2 linked regions of the Diceros bicornis minor genome follow. The protein of the gene in region 2 purifies or fractionates together with the protein of the main gene of each other region. This does not show direct contact. Links are inferred from orthologs where the notes say so. Each region holds a gene or a part of one and is shown on either strand. Other genes may lie near its edges.

Region 1 (15,673 bases), on a different chromosome or scaffold from region 2:
GATCCCAGGTGCGCACCAACGCACCGCTTGGCAAGCCACGCTGTGGCGGCGTCCCATATAAAGTGGAGGAAGATGGGCACAGATGTTAGCCCAGGACCAGTGTTCCTCAGCAAAAAAGAGGAGGATTGGCAGATGTTAGCTCAGGGCTGATCTTCCTCACAAAAAAAAAAAAAAGCAAAAGAAAAAGAAAAGAAATGACAAAGAACCCAACTGTGTGACAAGATGCCCAGCCTCGAGTATAGTAAGAGAAGTGCAAATTCAAACTACAATGAAATGCTTTGGTGGGTTCTCAAAAACTTAAATGTAGAATTATCATTTGACCCAGCAATTCCTCCCCTAGGTATATGTCCAAAAGAATTGAAAGCAGTGATTCAAGCAGATACTTATACATCCACGTCCACAGCAGCCTTACTCACAACAGCCAAAAAGTGGAAACAACCCAAGTGTCCATCAACGGATGAATGGATAAACAGAACATGGTGTATCCACAGAATAGAATATTATTCAGCCATAAAAAGGAATAAAATTCTGACACATGCCACAACATGGATGAGCCTTGAAAACGTGCTAAGTGAAACAAGCCAGATATTAAAGGACAAATATCGTATGATTTCACTTATATGAGGTATCTAGAATAGGAAAATTCATAGAGACAGAAAGTTTAGAATAGAGGTTAGCAGGGGCTGGGGTAGACGGGGATGGGGAGTCATTGTTTAAGGGGTAGAGAGTTTCTGTTTGGGGTGATGAAAAAGTTCTGGAAATAGTGGCGACAGCTACACAACATTGTGAATGTGGTTAATGCCACTGAATTGTAAACCTAAAAATGGTTAAAATGGTAAATTTTGTTACATATATTTTACCAAATTAAGAAAATAATAATAAAACTACAATAAAATATCTTTTTTTTCAACTATCAGACTGGCAAAGACAAAAATATATACAATAATAGCACAATTTTGGTGAGGCTATGGGGAGTATGAATGGCACCATCCTTATGAAAGGAAATTCACCAATCTCTAACATAATTCCAAATGCACACATCTTTGACTTAGCAATTCCACGCCTGAGTATTTATCCTACGGACAATTTCATACGTAAAAAATGATGTATGGGGCCGGCCCCGTGGCTTAGCGGTTAAGTGCGCGCGCTCCGCTGCCGGCGGCCCAGGTTCGGATCCCGGGCACACACCGACGCACCGCTTCTCCAGCCATGCTGAGGCCGCGTCCCACATACAGCAACTAGAAGGATGTGCAGCTATGACATACAACTATCTACTGGGGCTTTGGGGGAAAAAATAAATAAAATTATTAAAAAAAAAAAATGATGTATGCACGAGATTATTTTGGTAGTGTGGTTTGAAATGACCATCCACAGGGGACTGAGTAAATAAAATGAGGTACATGGATCCCTGGAGAAAACCATGCATTTATTTGAAAAGAGGTGACTCTATCCTAACGTGAATTAGCTCCAAGACACATTGTTACATGGAAAATAATTAAGTATTAGTATGCTGCTGTCAACATGGGCGGGGAAAACCATACATGTGTACACAGTTGCATATGCATACCATATTTCTCTGAAAGGTACACAAGAAAATGGTAACAGCCGCCTCAAGAGAAAATAACTGCAAGTGGGAAGACAGGGTGGGAGGAACTTACTTTCACTGTATTTACTTGTATTTTTTTTTTGTGAGGGAGAGCAGCCCTGAGCTAACATCCGATGCTGATCCTCCCCCCGGTTTTTTTTTTTTTCCCAAGGAAGATTGGCCCTGAGCTAACATCCGTGCCCATCTTCCTCTACTTTATATGGGACGCCGCCACAGCAGGGCGTGACAAGCAGTGAGTTGGTGCACGCCCGGCATCTGAACCCTCCAACCCTGGGCCACCAAAGCGGAGCGTGTGCCCTTAACTGGGTCGGCCACCGGGTTGGCCCCTCCTTGTACTTTTGTACCATGTGCAAATAGTAACTATTCAGAAAGGAACTTTTAAAAGAAAGAAAATAACTGTAACCATTAGAGAGTGGGTCCCATCTCCTAATCCTCTATCCCACCTTACCGTGTCTGAGAAAGAAATCCATGACTGTGTTCCTGTCTTGGCTTCACTATCAGTGAAAGAATACAAGCCAAGTTCAATGTTCTCTGTGGCCCCGCTGCTGTGACTTTATATAACCTTTTTATGATCCTACCCCCTAGGAGGGGAAAAGCCAGGCCCCTGAAGTATGAGCGCTTGGGCCCTCAGTGAACAAGTGACTTAGCCTTTCTCAGCCTCAGTTTTCTCATCTATAAAATGGGCGCTCACCAGGTAGTCATGAGGATTAAATGAGCTAAGCACTCAATATCATGCCCGGTGCATGATTAAGTGCTAAAAAAGCTACTCTTTCAACAAATACCTACTGAATGTGGACTACCTGCTGGGCTGTGTTCCAGAATGTTCTTTCTTCCTCCTGCCTCCCCAAGGGCAGGGGAGCTGCTCCAGTGGCCCATCCTCCCTCCCAGAGCCACAGAGGGAGGGAGGATGTTCTGACAAGGCTACAGAGTTCCTGAAAAGAAAACTAGTCTGGCAGCACCCGAGAAAGTTAATGGAGAATTTTTTTTCTTGCCAACAGAAAAACAATTGCTTATCAATCTCCACTCCAGGCCAAGGACATCAAGCCATCCACCCCCAGCAAAGCTGCTTTTAATCAGTCTCCTTGACAAGCTGGCGTCTGGCCCAGGCCTTGGCCCTTGACGTCTGGAGGAGGGGAGAGGAGAAATCCGCTGGCTGGGATGAAGGTAGGGCCCTCTGTGCTGGAGGGGCAGGTGGGGACCTCTGTGCTGGAGGGGCAGGTGTGTCCAGGTCTCAAGAAAGAGAATCCCAGGGGACACCGACCTCAGAGCCTCAAGGCCACCTGGAGGCCACTGGTCTGCAGCAAGGCCTGGCAGGCAAGGTCTCAGCCATTCAGCCTGATGGAAGATCTTTCGCCACTGACCACCTCGGAGTGGAGTCTCAGCCAGCGTTCGGAACTGTTTTGGAGTCACAGACTCTATGAGGTCACAGGCCCTTTAAGGACCTGATGAAAGCTACCAATACACTTCCTAGGAGAAAAAAATCATAAAAAAAGACAATGGTTTGCATAATAACAGCAATAGCTAACATCCAACCAAGCACTTACAAGGCACCAAGCATGGCTAACTGCTCTGCGCTGGTCATTCAATCCTCACAGGCCCTCTGAGAGGGAGGGACAGCTAAGCATTTGATTTCAGGGGGCCCCAGAGCAAGACGACCTTTCCGCAGAGCTGCCCGGGTTTGACAAAGTGCCAAGAGCCCTCTCCTCTGAGCCTCCTGCCCCAACCTTGGGTCCTTCCCCTGGCCCCCAGGCCTCCCCCACGCCCTGGCTGGCAGCCCCAGCTCCCCTGCCCTCCCCTCTCACAGGGCGGCTCAGCTGACCGACCAGACCCTTCCTGGAGCAGATGGATCGGCTCAGGGCCAGGATGAAGGGAAGAGCTCCTTCCTCTGCCAGGAAGCCAAATGGCACAGGCCTCGAGGAAACGCATTCCCATTTCCTGGGGGCAGTTCCAGCCGGCGCCTGCTCACCAAATGCAGAGCCACACGGGAGCCGCAGCGCGGCAAGTAGCCAGCAAGCGCCAGGGACGTGCCCCAACCCGAGACACCCCCTGAACGGGGTCCCATGAGGGCCCGGGCACCATGGGACAACAAAAGGGGCCCAAAATAGCTGTGAGGACCCTGCCGAGGTGAGGGTCAATGTCATTTCCTGGGATAACAGGCTTGGGCAGCTACCTCCTCACGTGGGGAAACTGAGGTCCAGGGAGGTCCTAAAGGAAATTCACTCATCCCTTTGTTCTTTCATCAAGTAATCAGTGAGGACCTACTATGTGCCAGATAAACAAAACAGACGTGATTTCTTAAAAGAAGGCACACAAGTCACTATAAGCACAATGAGGTCACTATGATGGGCCCTAACCCAACATGACTGGTGTCCTTATAAAGAGTGGGAAATTTGGACACGGAGACCGACGCGCACACAGGGAGAACACCAAGAGAACATGAAGGCAGAGACCCAGGTACTGCGCCTACAAGTCTAGGAATGCCAAAGATCGCCAGCAAGCCACCAGAAGCTGGGAGAGAGACAGGGAACAGATTCTCCCTCATGGCCCTCAAGAGGAACCAACCCTCCATCTGGGACTTCTGACCTCCAGAACTGTGAGATCATACATTTCCGTTGTGTAAGCCGCCCGGTTTGTGGTACTTTGTCATAGCTGTCCTAGCAAACTTAACACAGCTCCCACCCAACCAGAGAAGCTGCTGCCTCAGAGGCCACAGATTCAGAGGTGTCTCCAATGCCCGAGGGGGAGACCTGGGAGGCTCGGCCATACCAGCCGACACAGTGCTGAGGTTTGAGGCCAGATGGAATATTCCAGATCGGGGTCCCCGGCCCAGCCAAGCAGTCTTATCAGATTCAGTGACATCAACTCTTACAACTGTCTCTCCTTGAACACTCTCTAGTTTGGAGTCACTGAGACCAACTGTCTCCCCAAAGAGAAAAGCCCTCCCTTGGCAGACGGCAGGAGGGATGGTACTGGCTTCAGAGGGCAGAGACCCCATCCCCATCATAGGCCCTGGAGCAAAAAGGTGGCAAATGGTGACTCTTGTGTGACATCTGGCCACTGATGTATCCTGCTTGGCCTACACTGTGTTTAAAACTATCTGAATGAGATACCAACATTTCAGAGCCAGGAGATTTCAGATAAAAATAAAAATTTCCAGAGTCTCCTGAAGAACTGGATGCCCTGATAGCACTGGGTCTATACTCTTTCCTGGCAACAACGTGGGCAGCTCTGAATAGGAGATACACTCGCCAGCATGCCACTGTCCTCACCACTCCCCACTGCCTCCCCAATGCCGAGGACAGGCTGAGAGCCGCATTGAATGCCCTCCTCTTTCCCATGACCTATTTCACCCCTGCAGGCCCTGCTTTGAGATGCATCAAATGTTAGTGCTAAAAAGGGCACACATCAGTGGTCACCTGCCCAACCATTTTATTTCAGCAATGAGAAAACGAAGGCTCAGAAAGATTTACTGATTTTCCCAAAGTTACACGGTGGTTCCAGGCAGAACTAAAATTGGTCTGAGTTTTTCAGGAAGGGGCTAAAAATTACAGGTACGGCCTTGCAATGTCCACATATTGTGTCCTGAATAAAGTCCATGATGGGCCAAAATCTCCAATAAAGGGGAGCATACAGTCCATCCCTCTGCCTTCCTGAGATCTCCACCTGTGTGAGAGGAGAGTGTGTGAAGGCACAGTGTCTTATGGTGCTCAGAAATGAAATGCATAGGATTTGGGCACAGAGATATGGATTTGACTTAACTTGTGAGAGCCATGGCTTTGCCTTTCTTGTCTACTGCTGAACTCCAGGACCTAGAACTTTCTAGAACACTGCTGGCACTCAATAAATACTGGCTAGAGGTCACTGTTTATTTCACTTATCCCAAGGCCGTTCAGAAGGTCAGATGCTTTCTTTAGCTTGCCTAGAATCTATTTTCCTTCAGTTTGATAACAGCAGCCTGATTTATGTCTGGGAACACAACCTTCCATGCAAAAAGTGACCCCACAGAGATGTCCACACCACCAGATTCAGGGGTTCCATGTGACTCAAGCCTGGTCAACCAGGCATCAACTGCTCTGGTCAAGTGATTGATTCTAGAGTAGATGTGTGACCCAAGTCAGTCTACCGAGTCTTATTCTAGGATTTTGTGGAAGCATTGAGAAGAAAAAATGTCTCTTTCTGTGAAACAGGAGACATTGGGCACAACGATGCCTGAAGCCCACGTACCCCAGGAGTTTTTAACTACATGAGCCAATAAATTCCCATTTTTGCTTAACTTAGTTTGCAATTAGTTTTCTGTCACTTACAACCAAGGGTCCTGACTGACAGATGACACAGAGCTGACTGACAGAGAAACTTCTCCCCTAAGCTCCCTGCCAGATGATCAGTTCTCTATACCTTAAGGCTCCCAACCAGGCAAACTTGCCAGGCAGCTGCAAGTGCCCCAGTAAGCTGCACAGCCTTCACCTTGACAGTCAGGAGGAAACCAGAACTTCCAAAATCTCTTTTTTTCTTAAAGAAAAAAATCAAGGGGGCCGGCCCCATGGCTCAGCGGTTAAGTGCGCGCACTCCGCTGCTGGCGGCCTGGGTTCGGATCCCGGGTACGCACCAACACACCGCTTCTCCGGCCATGCTGAGGCCGCATCCCACATACAGCAACTAGAACGATGTGCAACTATGACATACAACTATCTACTGGGGCTTTGGGGGGGGAAAATAAATAAATAAAAATCTAAAAAAAAGTCAAGGAATAGAAGGGCTAAGGAACAGGACAGAGTAAAGGGAAGAAACTGACTAGCACTTTCGACACAAGAATCACATCATTGTAGCAGCAACCACAGTAGCCACAGACGGGGTAATGGTGACGGCTAGCCTTGTTCAGTGCTTGCCAAATGCCAGGCACTTTGTATGTATCATCTCATTTAATCGTCCCGATAACCTTATACGTTAGGTACCGTTATCATGCTTATTTCACTGATGAGGAAACTGAGGCACAGGGAGTCCGAGGGACTTGCGGGCAATCGCACGGTGCTTTGGGAGGGCACAAGTGTGAAATCACAGGCTCCAAAGTGGAGGAACTCCATGATCAGGGGCACATCCCTTCTCCTCAGCTGTGCGACCTTGGGGATAACAACACCACCTCACCAACCACACGAGCCCCCGCACACAGTAAATGCTCCCTAAATGGAAGCTGTTGCCAAGAAAGCACTTCAGCAGCTATCAAGTTCAAGCCCCTCAGCGGCTATCAAGTTCAAGCCCCTCAACTGGCTTTAATCTACATGAAAACAAAATTTTTTAATCTCTAATCCTACCATGTTAACTTAACGCTTCATGTTCCTCTTTAACTTCCGTCCACATGCAACACTTGGTACAAAATTAAAAACAGAGGGTGCCTACACTTTCGCACGCTTGCTTACTTGTGTCGTAAGAACCTGCGCATGCTCTCACACGGCTTTCACAGTCAACGCACTGGGGCTGCAGATGGAGTTCCGGAGACCCAGGGAGGTGAGAGGACCTGGTTTGAGGCCAGGCTGGGGTGAGAACCAGGTGTCCCCTGCGGCCCAGGACACTTACAGAGCAAGAAGCTCAACGTTTTAAGAGCTCTGAGGAGCTATTGTTCTGTCAATGACAAAGGATCACGGAGAGAGCGGCCCCAATCACACATCCAGGTATCGAAAGCCAGGTATGGGCTGGTGGCCCTGCCTTGAAGAGTGAGAAAGTGTGAAGGTGTGGGCAAGTGGGGGCCGGGTATCTAGACAAGGGAGGTAGGAACCACCTCACTTCCTTCCTCTTCTCCCACTGAATTCCTCCCAGGCTTTCACTGAACCAAAGGAAGACACAGGGAAACAACTGAAATTTCAATTTGTAATGAAAAGAAAGACTTCGACTTCAACATTCTGCAGCTTGGCACATCAGAGATAGAGGGGGCCGGCTCGGCATCCACAGCATCCGTGCCTTGGCCACCCACGGCCCTCCTCCCTCCCTCTTCCCTGCCATTTGGAGGTAATGCTAACTCGAGCTCTCTCCCTCCCCAGCCTCCAGCACAAAGGAACCCCAGCCAGCGCAGGCACGGCTCTGGGGGTCCAACCCTGTCCCAACACCTGGACCCAGAGCGTGGGAGCATCGTCTGAAATGAATCTAAATAAAATCTCTTTCCACCAGAGGCCCTGAAGGCAAAATCCCAATAAAAACCTTTAAAACCCATAAGGGAAGTGTCCCTTCCTCCACACCCTGCCCCCTGCCCCAACCACTAGTTCCCCATTTAAACTCCTCCAGCAGAAGGTTATCTCAGGCACCACCCACAATGCCCCTTCCCCATCTACTCACTTCCTATCTCATGCCCAAGCCAAGCGGGCAGAGGGGCAAGACTTTGGCCTGGGGAGGGGCGCATTTTCTTGGGGAACCATCCTCTCTCCTCTCCAGGTTAGAATTAGCATTTTTATCTCTGCAACTGCCATCTCTCAACTATTTACAGAAGCCAAGAGGATAAAAAGAGACAACATAAAAATAGTTACTTAGCAGCTTTCAGGATGGGATGGGGGTGGGGGCACAACACAGAATCTTCCTATTTTCTTTCTCTCCTTTTCAAAAGGGAAAAATGCTAGAACTGTTTATCTTTTCCAAAGCACTCCCCAATAGTTCACAGACCACTTACCTGGGAGCTTCTTGGGGACAGGGACCAAGTTCCAGCGTTCCTTGTCACCAGCCCCCCCAAAAAGTGTGGGTTCCATGAAAGACCATGAAGGTTCCAGAGCCATTGCTAAGTACAGCGCAGCGCCCTGCTCTGCCCTGTTTCCATCACCTCCTGGGCCTCCTTCCAGCCTTCCAAAAAAACCAGCCAGTCAAACAAAACAAAACAAAACTCTGGCTTTTCTCTACGCTTAAAATGTTTCATAATTGAAGAAAAAAAATTCAGTGGCAACACTACAAACAGGACAGAAACTGAGAACACTGGTGGCTAAAATAACTCCTTCCCCATTTTGGTCACTACCATCCCCCAGCAGGGAATGCCAGAGCCAGAGGTCTTCCCTAGGAAGTCGAAGAGCACTCACCTCCTTTTAAATATGCTATTTTTTTTGGTTTTGTTGAGGCAGCGATGCAATCAGGGAAGAAAGAACAAATAATCATTCAAAATCCTATTTTTCAGAGAGCAAAACCATTCAGAAATTATTTCTGCACCATAACCGCCTGGAGAGGGTGGATTCTACTCCATGAGAAAATGGGCATCCTTTGCCAGCATAAGGAGAGCGAGGGAGACACAAGAGCACGGGATTAGAGGGTGTGTCAGGATCCTACGGGACCTGAGGGTTGATTTTCTCTTCTATAAAATGGAGCCACCCTGGCTTACCTAGCAGGCAGCTGTAGCATCCATCCTCTATATGAAAGTGCCCAGCCCACAGCTCGGCTCCTAGTCAACAAATGAAAAGATCGTGATTTCCCTTCCTCTCTGCGCTCCACCTTCCCCAGGTCAACTGAGAGGGGCTGATGCCCCATCTTTTCTGGGCTCCCTCCCAGCTCTGTTTTCACGCTGCTCCATTTCCGGTCGGTCCGTGGTGGGCATTCCTGGCAAAGCTATCAGGAGAGACTGAGCCGACTCCAGGCCCGGCCACCGAGTTACGGCTCGATTTGTCTGGTGAGGCTTTCTCTACTTTGTGGATTTACTTACCCGGCAGAAGTTTCACAAAATATATACCAAGAAAATCACACGGGGACCTACATTTAACGAATTGTCATCACTGAAAAGAATGGAGCTGAATGAAATCCAGACTCTCCCTGACAATCACACTTCTAACACCTGTGACTTGACCGGGGAGGCAATGGGCTTAGAAGGGAGCTAGGAGTCCTGCGGAGGAGCGGGTGGCAGTGAAATTAAGGGAGTCCTGAAAACCTTCCTCCAGGAAGCTGGTCCCCAACTGATTTCAGAGACCCATCCTTGCATCGCCCTCTCTCTGCAAATGGAGTGAGAAGATAATGTCTTATGCCCAGAGGTTTATTAATTGGGGGCTGCCGAGGCAGAGGAATGGATACAGTCGCCTGAAGAGGATGGACATTAAGAACCCAAATGTCCATCAATGGATGAACAGATAAACAAAATGTGCTGTATCCATACAGGGGAATATTATTCGGCCATAGGAAGGAAGCGCTGATATATTCTACAAGTTGGATGAACCCTGAACATATTATGCTCAATGAAAGAAGCCAGACACAAAAGGTCACATATTATTAGCAGGTCAGTAAGGTAACAAGCACAGCCTCAAAGAAGAAAAGTCCATTCCAAAAGGCAATGCAATCTCCTCAACTTCCAGGAAAGAAGGCACAGAAGCTGGGGTGAAGGCCACTGCAGCACCACAGAGCCAGGCCGCCCTGCACCCCACATCCGGGTTCTCTAACCCAGTCCAAAGGGGAGGAGCTATTGCAAAAGCAAAATATCTGGCAAAAATAGCAGTGAAGGCCCTCTGACCCGAAGGAAAATCTGAAATAGCATTTGCCCCAAATCTCCAGGAAATGGGAACCATATGCTTCCCACAGCCACCAGAAGCAGGCATGTTGGGGAGAAGAAGGTCACAGGTGGCCCTGAACAAGTGACTCAGCCTCTCTGAGCCCTTCCACAAAATCGGTTCATGGAGGGGTACAGGCGATGCTGTGCCCCATGTTAAAATCTGAGCCAAAGTGCCCTGAAAACAGGCTTGGCCTGCCCCACCCAGCCCACCCCTTCCTCCTGAGAAAGGTGCCTCCACAGCCACTGGCCTGTCTTGGGTCCAGACTGAGGTCCTCAAGGAGGGAACTCTGGGTTCCTACAGAAAGTTCCCTCTGCCAGGTCATCCCGTCCTATCTCCCTTCCTCCTACTCCCATCCAATCTCCACTTCTTAGCCCATCCTTCCAGGCTCAGCACAAACAACACCTCCTTCAGGGAGCCTCCTGGATTCACAACAGAGGCACTCCTGGCATTTAGGGCAGGGCAATTCTTCATGCCTGCTGTGGATGTCTGCTGAGGATCTGGCCCGCTTGCAGGATATTTGGCATCTCGGCTCCTGCCCACCAAAAGCCAGGAGTGCTCAGCATCATTTTGACAACCAAAAGTCACCTCCACACTTTTCCAAGTGCTCGCCAGGAAGGTGAGACTGCCCTGGCTGAGGGCCACCGCATAGTTATTAGTGAATACATTTGGCCACCAGCCCCCTAACAACCTGGGAGCAAAGACAAGCCCAAGCCAATCAGCATCACCACCATGCCTGCTTAGATGTGTTCTCACAGGCTAGTTTGGTAAACAACTCTGGGCTCCTCAAGAAGCTGAGGGCAGCCTGCAAGGGCCCCGGGTCTAGAACAGGTGGTAAAGTGCAAAGGCTCTAAGGCCTGACATGCCTGGGTTGCTGTGTGACCCTGGGCAAGTTACTTAACCTCTCTGAGCCCTTTTATAAAATGGGACTAACTCCTAGCAACACTGCAGGACTGTTTCCAGCCTCAGTCTCCTTATATCTACAATAGGGATAAAAATTTGCCTTGTAGGATGTTGGCAGGCATTAAATGAGATAATGCATGCAACACATCACACAGTATCTGGCACCCAGCAAGAACTCAACAAATATGAGTTATTCACATCATTAATATTATTATCCAAGTTACGGGCTCATCAAATGACCGCTATTACTTCTTATTACAAAAATATGTTGTGTGCTCTCACTGCGAATGGCTGCTTTCTACACAGGAAGAGTTTATGAGCAGCCATCTGGAAGGAGGATCGAGACTCACTAGGAAGCTGCACTTGCATAGCATGCACACTGTTTATTCTTAAGCTGCATGTTTTTGTGGGGTGGTTTGGGAGAAGCAGTCTAACTCCCCCAAAGCCCTCCCCTTGTTGCTGCCCCTGCCTCCCCTAGCAACAAGGCAGCCTATGGGGACCTAAGTCTATCCTCTTTTCTCCCCTGGGGGCAGGGGCAGGGGCGGGGGAGTGGTGAATGACAGCACAGCTCTAGGGCACAAGAAGTTTCTATCTCTAGGATTGTGGAGACTTCCAGACCGAGGAAGGTAAAAGTTGCCTCTAAGGAAAAGGACCCTGCATGTCCCATCCCGAGGCCAACGCGCCCCTCTCTTGCTGACTGCCACTGAGATGCCGTCTGCCCCAACCTTCTGCGGGATATGGGGCAGAGGTGCAAGCTCTTCAGCGCCAAGTGAGAGCAGCAGGGCAGCTGGCAGAGCTGTGAAAACACCCGGCTTCCCAAACTGGGCAGTGCAGGGGGTGGGGGAAGCCAGGAAAAGCTCGAGGCTGGAGCGAGTGGCACCCCAGGCATGCAGAGCGGGGTTGGGCCCAGCACCCCGCGTCCCCGGGAGGCAGGCGGAGGGTGCCAGTGAAGGCACCTCTCTGCGTTCACAGCGGAGCTGCGTCCCCGAGGTGAATTTAGGTCAAAAGGACCAAGGCTGTGAGGTTCCGGCTGCGAGAAGGGGGGCGGGGGCAAAGGGCCCCGCAAGTGCTGCTCTGGGGTCCTGCCGCCTGATGTCCAAGCCCCCAGGGCCTGGGTTTGCCCCCAAGACACGCGCGGTGCGGGGGTGATATGCTCCAAGTCCGGTGGCCTTGTCCCCTGCGCGCTCTAGTTTCCCCACCTGTCAAACGTCGGGGGTGGGCCTAGGCCGCCTCCAGCATCCTTGACTGCCCCCGCCCGCGGAGACAGCGGTTCCAAACTCCGCGACCGCCCCTGCCACCCGGGCCGGGCGCGGCCCAGCCAAGGAGGCCACCCCCAAACCCCGGGCGCTCCGAGGACGCGGGGGAAGGGGCGCCAGGAGCCGCGTCCCCCACGTGGCGGGGCGTGGGGCGGCGCACGTGGGGTCCCCTCGGTGGGGGAGCCCGGAGCCGGCCTCGGGGCTTTGTCTGCAGTCCCGGCAGTGGTCCCCCGCCCCGAGAGCGCGAGGCCGCCGGGAGCTGCGTCCCTCGCCCGCCGCCCGCCGCCCGGCTCCCAGCTCCCGCCCGCTCACCTGGGCTCCGCGCTCGGCGCCCCCGGCTCGGCTGCGCTCGGCTCGGCGCGGCGCGCTCCTCTCCGCGGCCCCGGCGGGCGCGCGGGGGGCGGGGGCGGGAGGAGCCGCCCGGTCCCGGCTGCGGCGCGACGCCGCCGCGGGCTGCGCGGGGATTGGCCGCGGCCGCTGGAAACCCGGGCGCGCCCCCGCCGGCTCGGCCCCGCGCCGGGAGGGAGGGGGCGGGAGCTCGCGGAGAGGAAAGCAGCGGCGGGGCGGAGGCGGAGGCGGAGACAGGGGAGGAGGCGCAGGGGAGGGGAAGTGCGGCCCGGCGGGAGGGGTCGGAGGAGGCGGCGGAGCTGCGGACACGGGGAGACCTGCCGGGCGCACGAGCCCCGGAGGCTGCGCGGCGGCTTGGCCCCCGCCCGCGGCGCGCACCTGCCCCGGTTCTCCCCGCGGCGGCCGCGGCACCCTCCGGCAGGCCGGACGCGCCGGCAGCGCTCGCTTTGTTTTAGCCACAGGCGGGGACTGCAGGGCGGCGGCTGAGTCGCGGAAAGTTCCCCAAGCCTGCGGGACACCCGGGGGCCCGCCCCGCTCCCCGGCTCCCGCCCCGGGGCTGCTACCCCTGCCCCAGGCGACCCCGGTGGATGTGGCCTGGATTTCGGGTCACCATCCATTTGGAGAAACCCCTTCCGAACACGCTTCCTCACTGACCACTGCTCAGGGCTCGCCCTAAATTAGGCTGGGGGACGGTGTTCCTCTTCCACCCCGACTCCGCCAGGATATACCAAACTACACGAATCCCAATGAAGTTCTGGCTTTTCCCCAAGACTACTTAGATGCTTTTTGTGAAATACATCATATTCTTCTCGAACATTCTACTTTTGGCGCCCTACTTTGCTGGAGCCTTAAGTGTGTGTTTAGTCTCCCAGCTGGGCAATAGCATTGCGAGGGAGGGGGGCGGGGGAGAAGAGCTCAAGGGCTGCCAGACGGGGGCCTTCGGTGTTTCGAAACCCAGACCTGAACCGAAAGTTACCCAGGGGATGTCTCGCTGACCCTGCCAAGCGGCCGGAAGGGAATCAAGAGTTGAGGGGAGAGTCAAGGGCCGAATTAAAGGTTGACAGGTTTCGTCACCCCTTCTGATGTTATCCAACACGCACTCGTTCGTTGGTAACAGTAAGAACTTGGGAACAATCGTCCTAAATGTTCATCAGATGAATGGATAAATGAAATGTGTTATAGTCATTTGATGGAATACCACGCAATAGTTCAAAGGAATGCATTAGGTCTATTTGTACAGACATGAGGAGATCCCAAAAACAAAGAGTAAGTTGCAGAATACGATACACACAAATATGATGCACAATTTGTGTGTACTATTTTTAAACCCCACACAGTCTATATTGTTCATGGCCGCGAGCTTATATACAAGTGCTTTAAAAGTCAGAGGGGATGAGTGCAAATTAAATTCATGAGTCTGTCCCAAAGGAGGAAGTAGGGACAGAGAATAGAGAGGAAGAACATAAGCAATGTTGTCCATTTTATGCCTTTTTTTATAAATGGATTTGAAGCAAATGGCAAAATGTTAACAGTCAATTCTGAATGGTGGAGGCATAGCTCTGTATTTTTCTATTTTCTCCCCCAAAATATGTATCAGGGCTGATGGGGAGCATTTTGGACATTTCTGACTCTATGTTAGGGGTCAGCAAATGTTTTTTGTAAAGGACCAGATAGTAAATATTTTAGGTTTTGCAGGCCATACAGTGTTGCAACCACTGAACTCTGCCATTCTAGCAGCCATAGACAAAGTAAATAAATGGGGATAGCTGTGTTCCGATAAAACTTTATTTACAGACACTGAAAGCTGAATTTCATATAATTTTCATGTGCCACAAAATATGAGTTTTGATTTTTCTTCAACTATTTAAAAATACATAAATCATTCATAGCTGGCAGGCCATATAAAAACAGGTAGCATGCCAGATTCAGCCCATGGACAATTGTTTGGCAACCCCTGCTTTACTAAGGAAACCAAAATAGATATTGGTTGATGTCTTTTCCTGTTACTTGTTAAAACATACAATTCTGTGTTTATATCATGTTACTTAATTTGCCTATGTTTTATTAGAATGCTGTAGCTAACACAGGCAGAAACTTAGATATACATACAGCTATGTAAAGTTAGAAACCAGTTATGTAAGAAAGGTTAGGAAGAGCCCATCGAAACCCTAGCCCAAGATTCACTTCTTTCTGGAAGAACTTCCTGGAATGCTGTGGCCCAGGCCCTCCTTGACGTCTCTCCTCTCTGATCTCCTATAGCAAAGACTGTAGCTTACTTGATGCTCAGCCAATTATCTTCTTTATTCTTTACCTTTTCACTCATATGCTTTGACTTGCCAATAGAGCTATAAATTCCTGGAGTATAGGCAGGTACCATATCTGAAACATTTGTATGCTCTCAGCATTGTGGCTGAAAAACTTTGGAGCCAGAGAAACCTAGTTCAAATCCTAGCTTTGCTAGGTACCAGCTCTGTGGCCTTGCACTTGATCTCTCCTGGTTTGGTTTCATCAGCTGTCAAATGTTGCCCATCACAGCACCGAGCTCACAGGCTCAGCTTGGGGTTTAAATACAATAATGTGTGCCACGATAACAGCTCGGTGCCTGGTACATAAGTGCTCAATGGAGCTAACTATGAATATACTTAACACAGAGCTAAAAACACCATCAGTTATGTGCCTTGCCTATTAAAGTGAATTAGAACAAAGCAGAGAACATCACAATTGTCTCTCATTGACGTTCAGGCCCTCTTATGATAGAAATTATCCCACTTAAGGAAACCAGTTTCTTCTTAGAGATATGAAAATAAGAATTGGCTTTTGTTTTTTGAGTTTTCTCCTCCAAGAACACCAGAAAAACCTATTCTAGGCAAACAGATCTTGTTGTCTTGACAACACAGATTGCCAAGAAAATAAGTAAACAAAGCATCTGAATCTTATTTTTAAAGAAAACTTGAACAGTACAAGGGAGGGGCTGAAAAGTAAGACTTGAAAATTATCCCGCCCACTAGGATGGCATCACAAGCTCCTGCCAACACTGTCTTTCCTTTCTGAACTGTTCTGTGTCT
Region 2 (16,064 bases):
GCTGGGGTACACGATCCACGAGGAGACGTCTGGACAGGGACAGCATGGCTGGGCATCAGTGGCTGGGGCCGACGCACCCTGCTGCCCTCTCTGATCCACGCCTGCTCCCTACTCCTGGACAGTGGGTCACGTGTCGAAGGAGAGGGCCCTCCCTCGGAGTGTGTCTCCACGCACAGCTGGAGACACAACCACAGTCACCAAAGGACATCAGGGGCACGGCGGCGCAGGGGGGACCACGTGTCAGCCTCTGCTGTAGACACATTCCATATTCTCTGGGTTGGGACAGGGACGGTATGAAGGGTGAGACCGGGGAGAGGGGGGTCGGGTGCCCAGATGGAGCTGGGGTCTCCCGCCAGCCTCTAAGACCTTCTGCCCCCTCTAGTGCCTGGGCCACCTGCCCTGCAGTAGAACTGCTGTCCCTAAAGGTCTCCCTTGGCAGGGTCTTCGGGAGAATGGAGAAGGCAGGGCCTCCCTGTGCCCCGTGCAGCCGTGACCAGTGTGTTTATGACAGTGCCTTTTCTGGGGTGACTGAACCTCAGGGTGCAGACCATGAGTCAGGGAGAAGGTGGGGCATCTGACCAGCCTGGGGGAGGGGAGTAGGGGCTGGGAACTGTGGCCCGGGGGTGAGAATGTGACAGTTGCCTGGGGGGCCGCCAGTTTCCCCTGTCCCTTGGGCCTGCCTGGACCCCCACCTGTGATGGTGACGGTGAAGTAGGCACGCTCGTCTCCGGCGACACACTGAAACTCGCCGCCGTCCGGGGGCTGGGCGGCGGGCAGCACCAGGCGGTGATGGGGCCCTTCGTTCTCCAGCACCACGAAGTCGCTCTCCTCCACCTCCTGGCCATCCTTGTACCAGTGCACGGGGGCGTCCTCCCGGTCCACCTCGCAGGTCAGCATGACGCACTCGGAGGTGATGGCGTGCACGAATACGTGCTCCCGGGGGTCCAGGATGTGCACCGGGGGGTCTGGGAGAGCAGAGCAGGGGTCACACAGACACCCCACACACAGGAGACATGAGTCCACACCGGCCGCTTGGCCGGGACAGTCTCTTCCGCGGAGGACACTGGGAGGGTTAAGGCCATGCTGTGCAGGGGGCTCTGGGGCAATGACAGGGGACACTGAGGGCATGGAGGGTGAGGCATGGCAGATCATGTGGACCCTTAATGCTCCGTGGGTCCCCAGAGGGTCAGAGGTGGCTGGGTGCGGACACAGAGGGAGGGAGGCAGAGAGCCCTCGTCTAGGCTGAGAGGTGGTCACTATCACAGGCCACGTCAGGGCCACGCTGGCTGCTGCTTTCACCAGGAAGCCCCTGCCATGCTAGCCCGAGGATGAGTAAGAACTGGGAATGACTAGCGGAGCCACAGCGGTTCAGCTGCTCCCTACAGGTAGTGAGTTCTCCATCACTGGGTGCATTCAGGCAGGGGCTAGAGAACCTCCTGGCAATGGGGTTGAAACAGGATTTCCACTCAGCGAGATGAGCTGGATCCATGGTTCCCAAGCTGCCTTCCCAGAGGAGACCGCCAGGCTCTGCCGGATATTCTGGCTCTGGCAGTCTGGGGGGGCCTGGGCATATGCATTTATAACAAGCTTCCAGAGTGGTTCTGAGGCAGCCAGACCACAGACTGGCCTCTGAGAACCACTGGACCACTGCACTTAAAGCTTCCCTTTGACCCTGACCACCTGGGGCAGTAGGATAAGCACGGTCCTGGGTGTGAACCCAGCTAGGGTGTGTGCTTGCTGTATAATACTGAAGTCACATAACCTTTCTCAGCCTCAGTTTCTTCATCTGTGAAGATTAAAGGAAATAGTGTATATCTGAAGTATCACATAGTAGTTAGCTCACAGGAGAGGCCCCAAAAATGTGAGTTCCTCCCTTCCTTCCCTTAATTGATTTTAGTTCTCCCCCCACCCCCAGCAGAGGGGATGTGGGGGCAAGTGTGCTGGAGGGTGTTGGTGCACGGGAGAATTAAGAAGCAAGTGCAGAGTGATCTGAAAACATGTTCCCAGCCCACGAGGTTCTCCCCAGAAGGGACCCCCAAGCAGGCAGACCAGGGGGCAGGGCCTGCACGGCCCCCAGAGTCGGCCTCAGCCAGAGGAGCCCCGGCCGCCACGGTTCTGACCTCGGACGGTGACGCTGAAGAAGGCTGAGACCCCCTCCGTTCTGCACTCGAATTCGCCACTGTCCTGGACTTGGGCCGCGGGCAGGATCAGGCGGTGTTTGCGCCCGTCTGCCTTCACCACCAGCGCCTCGCTCTCCTCCACCTTCTGCCCGTCCTTGTACCAGCTGGCTGGGAAGTCCAGCCGGGAGAGCTCACAGGTCAGCACCACCCGCTCCGAGGTCGTGAACGTCAAGGACACCTTGTCCTGGGGGCTCAGGATGTGCACCGGGCTCTCTGAGTGGGGAGAAGTGCAGTCACATGCGGTGCCTCGTTGTGCTGCGCCTGGGATACGCACCCCCTCCGGTGCGCGGGCTTGGTGCAGGGCATGGGCCGTCAGGCCAGACAACCGCCGTCCACGCATTTGTTGGACTTTTGAAAAACAGTTTCAGGCCTCCCCACCAACTCTTGGGAGCAGTGGTTTTAGGGTGCCTAAGAATTCTTAGGGAGCCTGCTAAAAATGCACATTCCTAGACAACAGCCCTTTCCCAAGCGTGCAAGGGCCAGGAGTCTGCATTAGTCAGCCCTCTCGGGGATTCTCATGTCGCTGACCCCAGGCCTCATTTTGGAAACGCTGCTCTGGTTGCTGGTTATTTCTCACTTTGCCCTCTTCATGGGATGGTGGCAGCTAACTGCCCCAGGTGCTATTCTTGGGAGCTGAGGAATTCCTTGATTGGCCCTACAAACCCCAGCAATGGTGAGCTGGCAAATGCCAGCGTGCACCCTGAACTTTGAGACATCCACCTAGAACCGTCCTCCTCAGGGATGCCTCCTTCCCTCTCCTTCCCTGTTTCCACAGGTGGCAGAGGGTGATCCTGGAGCCAGACTGCCTGGGTTCATAATCTAGCACCACCACTCCTTAGCTCTGTGGCTTTGGGCACGTCACTTAACCTCTCTGTGATTCAGTTTCTCCATTTGTAAAATGGGATGACAAAAGAACCTAACTTATAGGGCTGTTGAGAGGATTGTGATAATTACTATATGGAAATGATCAGACTGTGCCTGGCACATGGGAAGCTGCTCTGATATGTCAGCAATTACACAACAGGGCAAGAAGCAGTCAGGAACTAGGGGCCAGGACCCATGTCTCTGAGATGATAAACGTGATAGAATTCTATAAACCACAAAGTGCTCCAGAGAATTTGGATACGATGCCGATGAAGATAACAAGAGGTCCCCTGTACATTGCACATGGGTTGAAATCGGCCTTCCGGACCACGGAGCCCTCTCTCTGAGCCCACTACAGGTGCTCCTTACTCTCCCGGCCCAGACGTGAGAAAAGGGAACAGCATCTGCCTCATTTTGCCAACAGGACTTCTGTGTCTTGACCCTATCTGCCCACCCTGGTCCCCACCAGCACCAACCTTGGATGGTGAGGGCGGCAGAGTCCTGCACGCCTGGGCAGCTGAAGCCGACCAGGGCCCCGCTGTCCTGGTGCCTGACGGCTTGCAGGATGAGCCTGTGCTGCAGGCCCTTGTGCTCCACACGGTACCGCAGGGCCCCAGGCTCCACCTGGCCCTCCGGCTCACTGCTCTTGAGCTCCTCCCCGTTAAGGAACCAGATCCCCTGGATGATGGTAGAGAGATCCAGGGAGAAGACGGCATCTTCCCCATCATATACCTGCACATCCTCCAGACCTGCCACCAGGCGAGCTGTGGGCACTGCGACGGGGACAGAGTGCAGCCATCAGACGGCAGAGGTTGGAGGAACATAGAGAACAGGGAGCGAGGGCTGGAGAAGGGAGGAGGGGTGATGGGGAGGGCGTGATTTGGGGCACGGCTGCCACCGGGCCGGGTCTGGCAGGACCAACTCACCGAGGTGAGCAGACCCGTGGAACACCACGTGGGGACTGCGGCCGTGCTCGCTGACCGTGCAGACGCGGAAGCGGTAGTCGCCCTCGGAGGGCACGCAGTCGCCCGGCACCTCCACGGCGCCGGCTTTCTCGATGCTGAAGCATTGGATCCAGTCTTCCGAGCCCACCTCCTGCCGCTCCAGCCGGTAGATGAAGGGGGTCTCGGGAGCTGGCTCGGGAGGCTTCCAGGTCAGCAGGACCGTGTTCTTGTGGCCCTTGAACATCTCTGCCAGCACGGGGGGTCCTGGGGGGTTGTGCTTCACGCCTGAGACAAAGGCAGGGTTTGCATTCCAGCCCCGCTCCCACGGCCCTCCCACCTTAGTCCCCCTTGCTAACCCAGCCTCTGGTCACCCCCTGCCCTGGCCCTCCTGTGCAGCCTTGAGGAGTCTTCCCCGGAGGCTTTCATGCCCTCACATTTGACTCTGAGCAGAGTGGTGGTCCGGGAGTTGCCCAGGCTAAAGGTGACCTCGCCAGCATCTTCTCGGGTCACCCCCGGAAGGACCAGGGCATGCATGTGGCCAGAGCTGCTCTGGCAGGTGGTCGGCAGGTCCTCCCCATCTCGGCTCCAACGCCCCTCGACTCCAGCCTCCCGTGTCTCCACCAGCAGCACTGCGTTCTCTCCCTCCAGGACGTCCAGCTTCCGCGGCAGCCGCTTCAGGATGGGCCCTGAGACGCGGACGGGAATCCATCAGCCTGGGATCTGGGCACCTGCCTGCCTCAGCCTTGGCCTCCTCCCACTGGCCAGCCGACCTTTGACGGTCACGTTGGCCACGGTGCGCACGCGGCCCCGCATCTCGCACAGGTAGACGCCGTCGTCATCTGCCTTCAGCCTGTGGATGATGAGGCGCCGGACGGTGCCCTCCTCGATCTGCTCGTACTTGCGGCAGGGCAGCAGCCGCTGGTCCTCGCGGAACCAGGCGGTGGGAATGCGGGAGTTGGGGACTTTACACTCCAGCACGGCAATCCCGTGCTCCCGGCCCTCCACGTCCTGCAGGGGCCTCGAGAACCGGAGGCGGGGCTCTGTGGAGAGGGGCAAGACCAGAGAAGGCTCTGGAGAGGGCCAGACCCGAAGGACTCCTCCTGGCATCCTGAGCTGCCTAAACCCACATTAGCTCATGCCGTTTGCTTCTCTCCCAGAGCTGGCAGGCACTGTGGAATCACAGAAAAATCACCAGAAGAGAAGATGGCCTAAATTCTTATCTGACCCTGACACTCACTAGCCACATCACCCGAGCAAGGCCATTTTAATGATCCTGGGCCTCCGTTTCCTTACTTGTAAAGTGGGGGAAAGAGATGCACCACATTAGTGATTTTCTTTTTCTTTCTTTACTTTTGCTGAGGAAGATTGGCCCTGAGCTAACATCTGTGCCAATCTTCCTCTATTTTGTATGTGGGTCACTGCCACAGCATGGCCACCGACGAGTGGTGTGGGTCTGTACCCGGGAACTGAACCCAGGCTGCCAAAGTGGAGCACGCCAAACTTAACCACTAGGCCACGGGGCCGGCCCCACATTAGTGATTTTCACACTGTGAAAATCAGTGGTTAAGTTTGGCATGCTCTGCCAGAGGCACCTCACAAATTCTGCAAGGGTCTGAGTGGAATTTCATTTTTAACAACTTTAACCATTTTCAAAATTGCATCTTATAAAAAGAAAGCATAATGACAGAAATGACCAGTGGGTTCACTTGGGCTGCTGGAGAAGCATGTTCATCCTGCAGCTCTGCCCTCCTGCTGGGCTTCTCTCCCAATGGAGTCAGGGTTCAACGCGGCCCGGCCAGTTTGTGCACATCAAACTGTACCAGCGAGGCCACCACGGCACCACAGGTGCCTCGTGCTTGACGGCGTGCCAGGCAGAGCTCAGGAGATTTGCCAACTTTTTCTCCTCTGAGGGAAAAAGCTAGGCAATAACTAGAAAATGTACAATCCCTCGACTTGTGATGAAGTCCTATCATGGAGAGCTTTAACTTCCGGTGTGAGTTTGGGGTGTTCTTTTTTACCCCTGAATTTTCTGTTTACCAGCAACGTAAGCATTTATTAGATATTGCTGGTGACTCAGCTTTGAAACATAAATTTCCTCTCCTTTCTTTTCCTCTTCTTTCAAACCTGAACAGCAGTTTAGTGAAAGAATAGTCAAAAATGCCAGAGTATTTTTCCTCCCTCAAGCTTACCTTTGGGGTGAATCAGGAGTTTCTCAATGTGAGGCCTGCAGGCAGGTGTTTCTCCCCAGGCTCACAGAGGAGAGCCGGTTATGAACACAGCCTCCACTTAAAATGAGTGTAATCAATAAAATAGCCCCCTTGTTCTCACTGGTTGGCTTTAGAGGTATGTGTTATACATTTGGATTTAGAAATTTACACGGATAAAATGTTCCTTTTATCTGTTTTATATATCGGGGCCCCAGATGGGGTTTCCATTGGGGAAGAAGGAGTGAATTAATAAAGAGGTTGAAAACCACTGGAGTAGAAGAGATCTAGGCCCCTCTGGGTTTGTACATCAATCACTCCTTAAAGCCGCTTATCAAGGGTAGTTTTCCACCACTTGCCTCAGAATCACTTGGGGAGGTTTGCTAAGAAGTTCCTGGGTACGCTGGAGACCTGCTAAATCTGAATCCCTGGGGGGTGGGAGGAGGGCTGGAAATTGTATTTTAATAGCCCGTCTCCCCTCCCCCACCGTCTTTTGGGCGGCGCTGGGCACTGAGAGGCGATGGAGTAAGGAGGACCCCGGAGGGCGCTGGAGGGCTCTCCAGGCCCGGGCTGCTGGGGGCGCCGCAGTACCTTTGACGTGCAGCTGCACGGCACTGAGCGTCTGCCCTGCCGAGTTGCGCGCGGCGCACACGTAGAGCCCGCGGTCCTTGGCCTGGCAGTAGAGCACCTTGAGCACGAAGCCGCCGTCGCGGTCGCGGTACATGAGGCGGCGGCGATCGGGGAGCAGCGGGCGGCCCTCCCAGTGCCATTCGATCTCGGGCTCGGGCTTGCCCATCACGTAGCAGCGGAACTTGGCGTGCTTGCCCTCGTTCACCCAGAAGGTCTTGGGCGCACACTTGAGCGGCTCCACCACCGGCGGGGGCGCCTCGTCGGGGTCCTCGGGGGGGCTCTCGGGGGGCTGGTGCACCTGGAGCAGCGCGCCGGCCTGCGCATGGCCGTGCGCGTTGCGGGCGTGGCACACGTACACGCCCGAGTCGGGCAGCCGCGCCGCCAGGATGCGAAGCGCCAGGCTCGCGCCCGGGCCACCCTCGGCGCGGCGCGGCTCGAGCGCGAAGTGGCCGCTGTCCCACACTTCGTCCAGGGCCATCCCGTCCTTCTCCCAGTACAGCGTGGGCGCGGGGAGGCCCCCCACCTGGCACGTCAGCACCACCTCCGCCCCCCGCAGCACCCACTGGGACCGGGGCCCGGTCAGGAACACCGGGGCGCCCTCTCCAGCCCCGGGCGGCGGCAGCGGGCGCTCGGCGGGCTGGGGCTCGGGCTCGGGGGCCGGCGGCTCCAGCACGGTGACGGCGGCCGCCGCGTAGGCCTCCCCGGCCGCGTTGCGGGCGCGGCACACGTAGACCCCCCCATCGGTGGGCCGCGCGCCGCTCAGCAGCAGGCCGTGCTCGGCGCCATCCGCCGGGAAGCTCAGGCGCTCCGAGGCCACCAGCGGCTGCCCGCCCTTCTCCCACACGACGGTGGGCGGCGGCTCCCCCAGCACCACGCACTTGAGCTCGGCCTCGGCGCCACTTACCACCCGCACGGGCCGCGGGAAGCGCAGGAAGCACGGGGGGCTCCCCTGATCCCCCGAGCCCGCCTTCATCGCGCCGGCCGCAGACGGCCCCGCGGCGCGGGGGCAGCGCGGGCGGCCTGCGGGCGCGCGGAGGCCCGGAGCGGCGGCGGGAGCCCGGGAGGCGGGGCGGATCTGGGGACGGGGCGCGGGGAGCCGCCGAGCTCTCCCGGGGCCGCCCGCTCCCGGCTCGCCTCCTTACCCTGGGCCCGGAGCTGCAGCTCTGCGGCGGCGGCGATCCCGGGCCCGGAGCGCGCAGCTCAGGGGGCAGTCCTTCCTGTTTGCCTTTACGGCGAGGGGCCCCGCAGCCTCCCCTGCCCGCGGCCTGGCTTCCTGCTCCCGAGAGCCTCCCTTCCCAGCCCCCTCCCCCAGCCTGGGCCTCTTTCCCCTCCTCCTTCCCCCCTCCAGCCGCCAGGTCCCCAGCCGCCCGCCAGGCTTGGGCCTGAGTGGCAGAGTCGCCTGCAGCTGCCAATCCCAAAAATATTCTCTGATGACACAGCTGGAGGACAAGAGCCCGGGCTGGCTCCTCCAGGCTAAGTATAGAGCAGGCGGGACCACCTGCCCCCCGCCCTAGCCCCAGTTCTAGCCCCAGCCTCAGCCCTTCCCCCAGGACTGGTCCAGCAGCTGCTTGGGTGAAAGGGGCCCCAGAAGGTCTGAGGGGCTGGCACATTCTGTCTTCCCGACAAATAACCCTCTTAGGAGCTGACAGACCCCAGCTGCCAGGCTCCTGTCACACCTGATGTCACCTCTGTGCTGGGTGCTCCGATGTGACTGGCAGTGTGTGTGTGTGTGTGTGTGTGTGTGGAGTGAGTGTGTGTAGGGGGAAGGCTTGTCTGTGTGGGTCAGGTCACTTGGGGTGAAAACCCTCACCAGCCCCCTCCCCCACATTCCTGGCGGGAGTGGGAGATAAGGCTCAGGGCCACAGACATCTGCGTCAGAGATAGGAGGTCTCAATGCCACGGGCAGGGGCAACTCGGACTGCAGGGTGTGGGAAGGGCTGGGGAAGACCCAGGGAGAAGGGTAGAAGAGGGCGGGTGGTGGGATGGGGAGTGGGGAGGCCCTGGGCAGACCCTGACTGAAGGGGCGCAGGGCAGGGAGTGGGGTCACTGTTGGCAGGCCCAGGTGAGCGATGGTGTCCCAGCCGCCACTGCTGTTCCTCTTGCTCCTGGTTCCACAGGCTGGGCATGGCTGCCAGGGGTCACAGCTGGACCGGGAAATTGTCCTGGCCAAGGTGAGGGCCCTGTTCCTGGACGCCTTGGGGCCCCCGGCAGTGATCGGGGAAGGTGGGGATCCTGGAGTCAGGCGTTTGCCCCGAAGACATGCCTTGGGAGGCTCCGTGCGGAGGGCCTCTGAGCCCGAGGAGGAGGATGTATCCCAGGCCATCCTTTTCCCAGCTTCAGGTAACGAGGGCGGGGATCTTGGAGGGCGACTTTGAGAAGCAGCATGGTTCAGTGTGGGCTTGGAAGCCAGGGTGGTCTCACTCAACTGGCTTTGCAACAATGGGCCAGTTACTAAACCTCCCTGACCCTCTGTGTCTTCATCTGTAACATGGGCAATAATGCCTACCTCTCAGGATTAAGTGAGATGGTGTATCTAGAGTGCATGGCACATAGGAGGCATTGGGAGATATTCGTCTGGGAGACCAAAAGTCCCTAGAGACGGAGATATCTGGGCATGAGCCCCCTCTTGCCACCTTCCCTTCTTTCTCTGCCTCTGCTCCCTGCTCCAAACCTTGTTCCTTTAGCCCCAAGTAGCTGAGACTTGAGAGATATCAGAGATGTAGGAGAAAGAGCAGTTGGGAAACTTTTCTGGGAAACCGGTCCATCTTCTCTTGAATTCCCTTCTCATCTCCCTGTGTGTGTCCCCATGTTCCATGGACCGAACCAATAAAGCCCTCCTCTGGATCTACTTTCTTGTAATCTGTCCCACCTTTCCCTTAGAGAGGACCGGCTGCCTCCCTGCTCATCACTCCCCGTGCAGCACAGTCAGTCAAAGTGTGGCTTTGGGATCAGGCAGAGTCCCAGCCTGGCCGCTTAAGTTAAATGTCACTCACCTTTCTAACCCTCAGTTTCCATATCTGCAAAATGGATCGGTTGTTGTGAGGTTTATAATAGATAAAGATAATCCAGGTAACACTATAGCTCTAACCGCCAGTCCTATTGGTGCTGATCCATGATGGTTCACTGTGGTCCATGTACCCATCAGGGTCAGGATGCCAGCTGCACTTTCTTAGAACGTGCTGCCCTCTATCCTGAGCTATAGTCTCTCTTCTCCTCTTTCTTCTTTTTGGTGTTAACCTGTCTTTTTAAAGTGGAATTATTATTTTTTCTAATTAAATTTTTTATTGCAGTAACATTGGGTTATAACATTATATAAATTTCAGGTGTGCATCATTATATTTCAATTTCTGTTTAGACTACATTGTGTTCACCACCAAAATCCTAGTTGCCATCCATTAAAAGTGGAATTATTTTAAAGAATTTATCATGCACTATTTTTTTTTTATTTTGGTGAGGAAGACTAGCCCTGAGCTAACATCCATGCCAATCCTCCTCTTTTTGCTGAGGAAGATTGGCCCTGGGCTAACATCCATGCCCATCTTCCTCTGCTTTATATGGGACGCCGCCACAGCATGGCTTGACAAGCGGGGCATTGGTGCGCGACTGGGATCCGAACCTGTGAACCCTGGGCCGCTGAAGCAGAGCACACGCACTTAACCGCTGCACCACCAGGCCGGCCCCTATCAGGCACTATTTCTAACATGTAAAAAGATATAAAGAGTAACACAACAAATGCCTGTGTACAGACCCTTCAAGGTACCATTTCACACTACCAGATGAAGAAAAATTTAAGTCTAACGAACAATTCCAAGTGTTGGTGAAGGTAGAGAGCGGCAGGGCCTCTGACACACGGCTGATGGGAATATTAATTGGTAAAACCACTTCAGAGAGAAGTTGGCAACATCTTGTATTTTTTAAGTCCTTTAATGATGAGATAATAAATGGGGAGCCTCTGTCAGTTCTCCCAAGACTGGAGGGAGGCCCCAAGTTGGCAGAGCACTCAATGGAGTGGTTGGCAGGCTCATGAACGGCAGCCACATCCCTTCTGTCGAGGAGGAAGGCTCCCCAGTCTGCCAGTCAGGCCTGCCCTCTCCCTTCCCTCTGTCTCCTGTAGGTGCCAGATGTGAGGATATGCCAGCTGCTGGTGAGTGGGCCCAGGAGGCTGAAGAGGGCCTCTTCACGTATGTGTTCCGGCCGTCCCAGCACACACGCAGCCGCCAGGTGACTTCGGCCCAGCTGTGGTTCCACACCGGACTGGACAGGCAGGGCACAGCAGCCTCTAATAGCTCTGGGCCCCTGCTAGGCCTGCTGGCACTGTCATCCGGGAGTCCCATGGCTGTGCCCATGTCACTGGGCCAGGCACCCCCTCGCTGGGCTGTGCTGCACCTGGCCGCCTCGGCCCTTCCTCTGCTGACCCGCCCTGTCCTGGTGCTGCTGCTGCGTTGTCCTCTCTGTTCCTGCTCAGCCCGGCCTGAGGCCACACCCTTCCTGGTGGCCCACACACGGGCCAGGCCGCCCAGTGGAGGGGAGAGAGCCCGGCGCTCGACTCCTCCACTGCCCTGGCCGTGGTCTCCCGCCGCGCTGCGCCTGCTCCAGAGGCCTCCAGAGGAACCGGCTGCCCACGCCAACTGCCACCGAGCGGCTCTCAACATCTCCTTCCAGGAACTGGGCTGGGACCGGTGGATCGTGCACCCTCCCAGTTTCATCTTCCACTATTGTCACGGTGGCTGCGGGCTGCCTGCCCCACCAGACCTGCCCCTGCCGGTCCCTGGGGTTTCCCCCACCCCTGTCCAGCCCCTTTCTTTGGTGCCAGGGGCCCAGGCCTGCTGTGCCTCTCTTCCGGGGACCATGAGACCCCTACGTGTCCGCACCACCTCGGATGGAGGTTACTCCTTCAAGTACGAGATGGTGCCCAACCTTCTCACACAACACTGTGCTTGCATCTAAGAGAGTTCTGCGGGGGGCCAAGCCCCCACCATCAGCTGGGAGGAAGGGCAGAGTTCGGGAGATTGATGGTTTCTACTTCCCCCTTCCTCCCACTTCTCTGCCTGAAGGCTCCTCCCCCGTCCCACCGCTGTCCCATGGGTAACATGTGACAATAAACAGCGTAGTGCATATGACTTGGCGTGAATTCTCAGGCTTCTCTGATATGGCGGGGGCCAGGTCTGGACCCCGGGAGCATGGGATTGTGGGATCTCAGGTCACTCAGCCTCACCTGACCTTGGAGATCTGAGGTTCAAGAGCTGGGATTGGATATGCATCTGGTGGGAAGCCACAAGGCTTGGGGATGACACAGAGGTGCTCCAGGCTCTTGACAGCCACACTGGAGACAGAACTGGCCCTCCTGCAAGCCGGACCTGACATGTCAGTTGGGTGGCCTGCCCTGCCACACCTAAAGGCAACGACTGCTCTCAGTGCCTGCATCCACGGTGGCCATAGCCCCTCCCCTGCCATTCTCTGCCCTAGCTGATGGACACTAGCTCAAGGTCAGGTGATTCGTAGACTGGCCAGAGACCATGGCTTGGGGCCCCACTGAGACACATGTTCAGAGCTGGTCAGATCTTGGGTTTCTCAGGAACTTGGGTGGGAAGTAAGGGAGAGATGTATGAGTTGGCAGCATCCGAAGGTTGACCAGGCAGAGAGGTGGAAGAATGAAGACCTGAGGGTTTCAATTTGCCAGGGTCCTGGACTCCTTTGAACCTATCACTGGGTCTTGCTGTAGCCTCTGCGAGGCCTGGCTGTACTGGGATTTGGGTTCTTGAAATCTTTGGCTCCTTTGATGCACACTGTGTATCTTTCTGTAGCCTCTTAACTCAGTCCTTGATGTTGGAAGCATGGAAAGGCAGAACCTACTGCTGGACAAACGTGTGCTCTTGTGTGAATTTGTGTACACACTTTGTGTACACACAGAGAGTCCGGAGCAGCATGCAAAGGGTCTTTTTCCCATTGGTCTCATACTAGTCCATTCTGCCCACCTTGACTGGAGGTCGGGAACCCCACTTCCCCAGCCTTCCTCTCTGCTTATTCCGCCCTCCTCATCCTCCCCTCTGTCTCACTATCCACCCGCCTGCCCCAGGATCCTGGCTCTCTGCCAGTTGGTTCCATCCAGTTTCCCTTTAAGGGAGATGTGTGTGTGTGTGGAGGGGGAGGGTTGGGGATGTTCAGGTCCCTCAGACTGAAACTCGAGAGCTCTGTCTGATATTGACTGTACAACCACAGTGTGTACTTATGCTAACAGAGTGATTTGTCAAAGTCCAGTTCCATGCGGCGGGCAGGTAAGCGCCTGCCCCGGGAAGGGGGTGTGGGGGAGAGAATCCCATCCTGTCACCGTGAGGCTAACACATTCCCCCTACTTGAGACGAACTGAATGAGCTTCTGTTCCTTGCAGCACAAGAACCCGCCAGAGCAGCCCACGTCCACGCTCCTGCGCCAGCCTCAGTCTCTGTTGACACTGAACCCCCGAGGAGGCTGCCACTGCTGGGAGGTGGGAACCTGCCTATTCCTAATCCTGAGTCTCTCCCAGCACCTTCATCTATACCCGGCATTGCAACCAGTGTGTGCTCAGGGCTCCTGGGGGCCCTACTCACGTGGTGGACTTGTGGGAGGGCTGGCTGGGCTGGGCTAGTGGTGGGAATAGATCTTCCTCAAGCCTGTCTGAGCGCCACTCTCTCCCTGTCTGGCTTCCCTTGCCAGATCCTCCTACCCTGAGCCAAATCTTTCCCTGGGATTTTCAATCCTCCTATTAAACTCAGGATCCTCCTTCTTCCTGCTGGGGCTGCCTAGGACCCTGTGTTGTCCAGACTTTCCCTGTCCCAGGGCTATGGATGAGATCTGAGGGCTGGGGACACTCTACTGAGGGGCACAGTGTTCTCCACTAGGCCAGGTAGCAGATTGGTGCTGCTAGTAAAAAGTTTTTACACATCTGAGATGGAGTGAGAAAAGTGAATATAAGGTAGTGTCTTTCATGAAGCCAAAAGTATTTATTTTAAAGGACTGTCCTCTATTCTAAGGTTATCCTTTCTGTGTGTGTGTGTATGTGAAAGTAGTATTTCTTTTATGATATTATGGTGATAGTAGAAGGTGGTGGTTTATTTATTTTGTTTTTAAGTTTTTACTTAACAAAATTAAAACTTGGAAATTCTAATTTGGTCCCTAAGATTTTTCTTTGTAATTTTGCTGCTGAAATCTGTGACATCTCAAGTCTGGGAGTCACACTGGTCTGGGCCAACCCTTCCAGGGCTCTGGGCCTTAGATTCTGCTAACTTAGCAAATCAGGAAGATACGTCCACCGCTCCCTAAGAGGGGCTGACAGTAGTAAGGACATCTTTTTGTCCTCACTCTTTGCCATGAGACTAAGAGCATGCCAAGAGACTTCAGAGGTGCTCCCCATTCCCAGTGCTAATCATTAGGGACACTGAATACTCTTAATTCAGAGTCAGTTTGAACAGAAAACACAACTCAAACTGACTTAAACCAAATAAAAGAAATAATATAAAATAAAATAATCACTGGCTCATGACAAGTCCACGGTCACAGCTGGCTAAGGTATGGCTTGATTCTGAGCTCAAAAGTTGTCTCAGGATCCAGCTACAGGCTCTGCTTCCCCTCGGTCGACTCCATCCCAAGTCCATGGTGACCTGGGCAGCTCCAGGCTCCCATCATCACACCACATGGTCTAGCAGGAGGGCGTTTGCTTACAGAAGTCCCAGACTGGGTCTTGGTGGCCTGATTGCCCTGATTGGGGTCATGTACTCCTCCAGGAAAGGTGGCTGAGGGAACAGAATGAGTTAATGACTTAGATCACGTGTCTTACCCCCAGAGCCCAGAGCCTAAGCACAAGGGCTAAAGGTGAAGACAGGTGTATCCCCAAAGTAGGGTACAGTTATCACAAAAAGGTGGGGTAGATGCTGTGTGGCAAGTACTGTGGGTTCCTCCTCCTAATGATCTCTCAAATCAAGCCCTTTCTCTCTCCCTACGTAGACACCATTTTGTCACTTAGGGGCAATTCTTTTTTTTTTTTTTTTTTTTTTTATTTTTCTGGGGAAGATTGGCCCTGAGCTAACATCTGTTGCCAATCTTCCTCCTTTTTTCTCCCCAAAGCCCCAGTAGATAGTTGTCTGTCATAGTTGTACATCCTTCTAGTTGCTGTATGTGGGACGCCGCCTCACCATGGCTTGATGAGCAGTGAGAGATCCGCGCCCAGGATCTGAACCTGTGAACCCCGGGCCAAGGAAGCAGAACATGTGAACTTAACCATTACGCCGCCAGGCTGGCCCCAGAGGCAATTCTTGATTGCGCAATGCAGCAGCCTCCTCAACGGCTCTCTAGCAGTCAGTCACTCCCTACCTCTCCAGTCCAGGTTAGCCTGGCTGCCAAAGGAGACTTCTTTTGTGATCATGTCCCTTAGGTGGCTTAAAAAGTTGACTACACAAAGTTCCACCTGTGTTGTGTGGTAGACTAGCCCTTTACAATTGACCCTAAGCCCATCCTTGCAGCCTGATCTCATACCCGTTGCTGCCTTCCTCTCTCCACCAAACCACGAGCTCCCAAACTCCGTTGATACAATCTCTGGTTGTTCCTCAAGTACATCATTTTATCCTCAAGCTGCCATGTCATCAGTCTTCCTTCTTTCCTCAGCCAATGCGTGGGTGCAGATCCAGTTTTGATGTCATCTCTTGTGTGGCTTCCCCTGACTCCCAGCTGGCAGAGCTAGCCACTCTCTTCTCATTGCCTCCTGGGCACTTTGTTTTTTAACGTGGATTTTCAAAAAAACGTTACTTGTTTTTTATTTCATAAATAACACAGAGATTGACGTGCCCACAGTAAAGATTCAAATATTAAAAATAATGCTGAGGTTCCCCTTGGTCATTTCTCCCAATTCTAGTCCCTACACAGAGGTAAGTATCCCACCAGACATATTTCTTTGAGTTCACACACGTACATATTTCTTGTAGAAATCATCTTTTCTCCCCCAGAAATGGTATCCTGCCTGATGCATTGTGATGCAATTCTTTTATGTTCTAAGAGCTGTCTTTGACTTTATTTTCCTCTCTCACTATCTTTTTTTTTTTTTTTTTTTGGTGAGGAAGACTGTCCCTGAGCTAATACCTGTGCCAATCTTCCTCTATTTTGTATGTGGGACGCCGCCACACCGTGGCTTAGACGAGTGTCATGTAGGCCCGTGCCCTGGGGTCCAAACTCATGAACCCTGGGCTGCCAAAGCAGAGCGCACGAACTTAACC

What was found.
Region 1: the proteins of OBSL1 (region 2) and CAMKK2 purify together in Homo sapiens (affinity purification with mass spectrometry; 4 studies listed by BioGRID and IntAct, with this or other methods). This does not show direct contact. The link is inferred for Diceros bicornis minor from reciprocal best matches to the Homo sapiens genes OBSL1 and CAMKK2.

The regions. Positions count from the first base shown.
Region 1 is NC_080774.1:8,551,628-8,567,300, reverse strand, and holds the start of CAMKK2 (calcium/calmodulin-dependent protein kinase kinase 2), read right to left. Parts: upstream 10,095-15,673; 5' UTR 9,098-10,094; coding exon 8,952-9,097; intron 8,426-8,951; coding exon 8,259-8,425; intron 1-8,258. UniProt on the Homo sapiens protein: Calcium/calmodulin-dependent protein kinase belonging to a proposed calcium-triggered signaling cascade involved in a number of cellular processes. Isoform 1, isoform 2 and isoform 3 phosphorylate CAMK1 and CAMK4. Isoform 3 phosphorylates CAMK1D.
Region 2 is NC_080776.1:9,821,166-9,837,229, forward strand, and holds the start of OBSL1 (obscurin-like protein 1), read right to left. Parts: upstream 8,087-16,064; 5' UTR 7,796-8,086; coding exon 6,784-7,795; intron 5,029-6,783; coding exon 4,759-5,028; intron 4,675-4,758; coding exon 4,423-4,674; intron 4,274-4,422; coding exon 3,971-4,273; intron 3,818-3,970; coding exon 3,521-3,817; intron 2,394-3,520; coding exon 2,121-2,393; intron 966-2,120; coding exon 693-965; intron 30-692; coding exon 1-29. Other genes in the region: INHA (inhibin alpha chain), read left to right, coding at 8,892-9,162, 10,937-11,769. UniProt on the Homo sapiens protein: Core component of the 3M complex, a complex required to regulate microtubule dynamics and genome integrity. It is unclear how the 3M complex regulates microtubules, it could act by controlling the level of a microtubule stabilizer.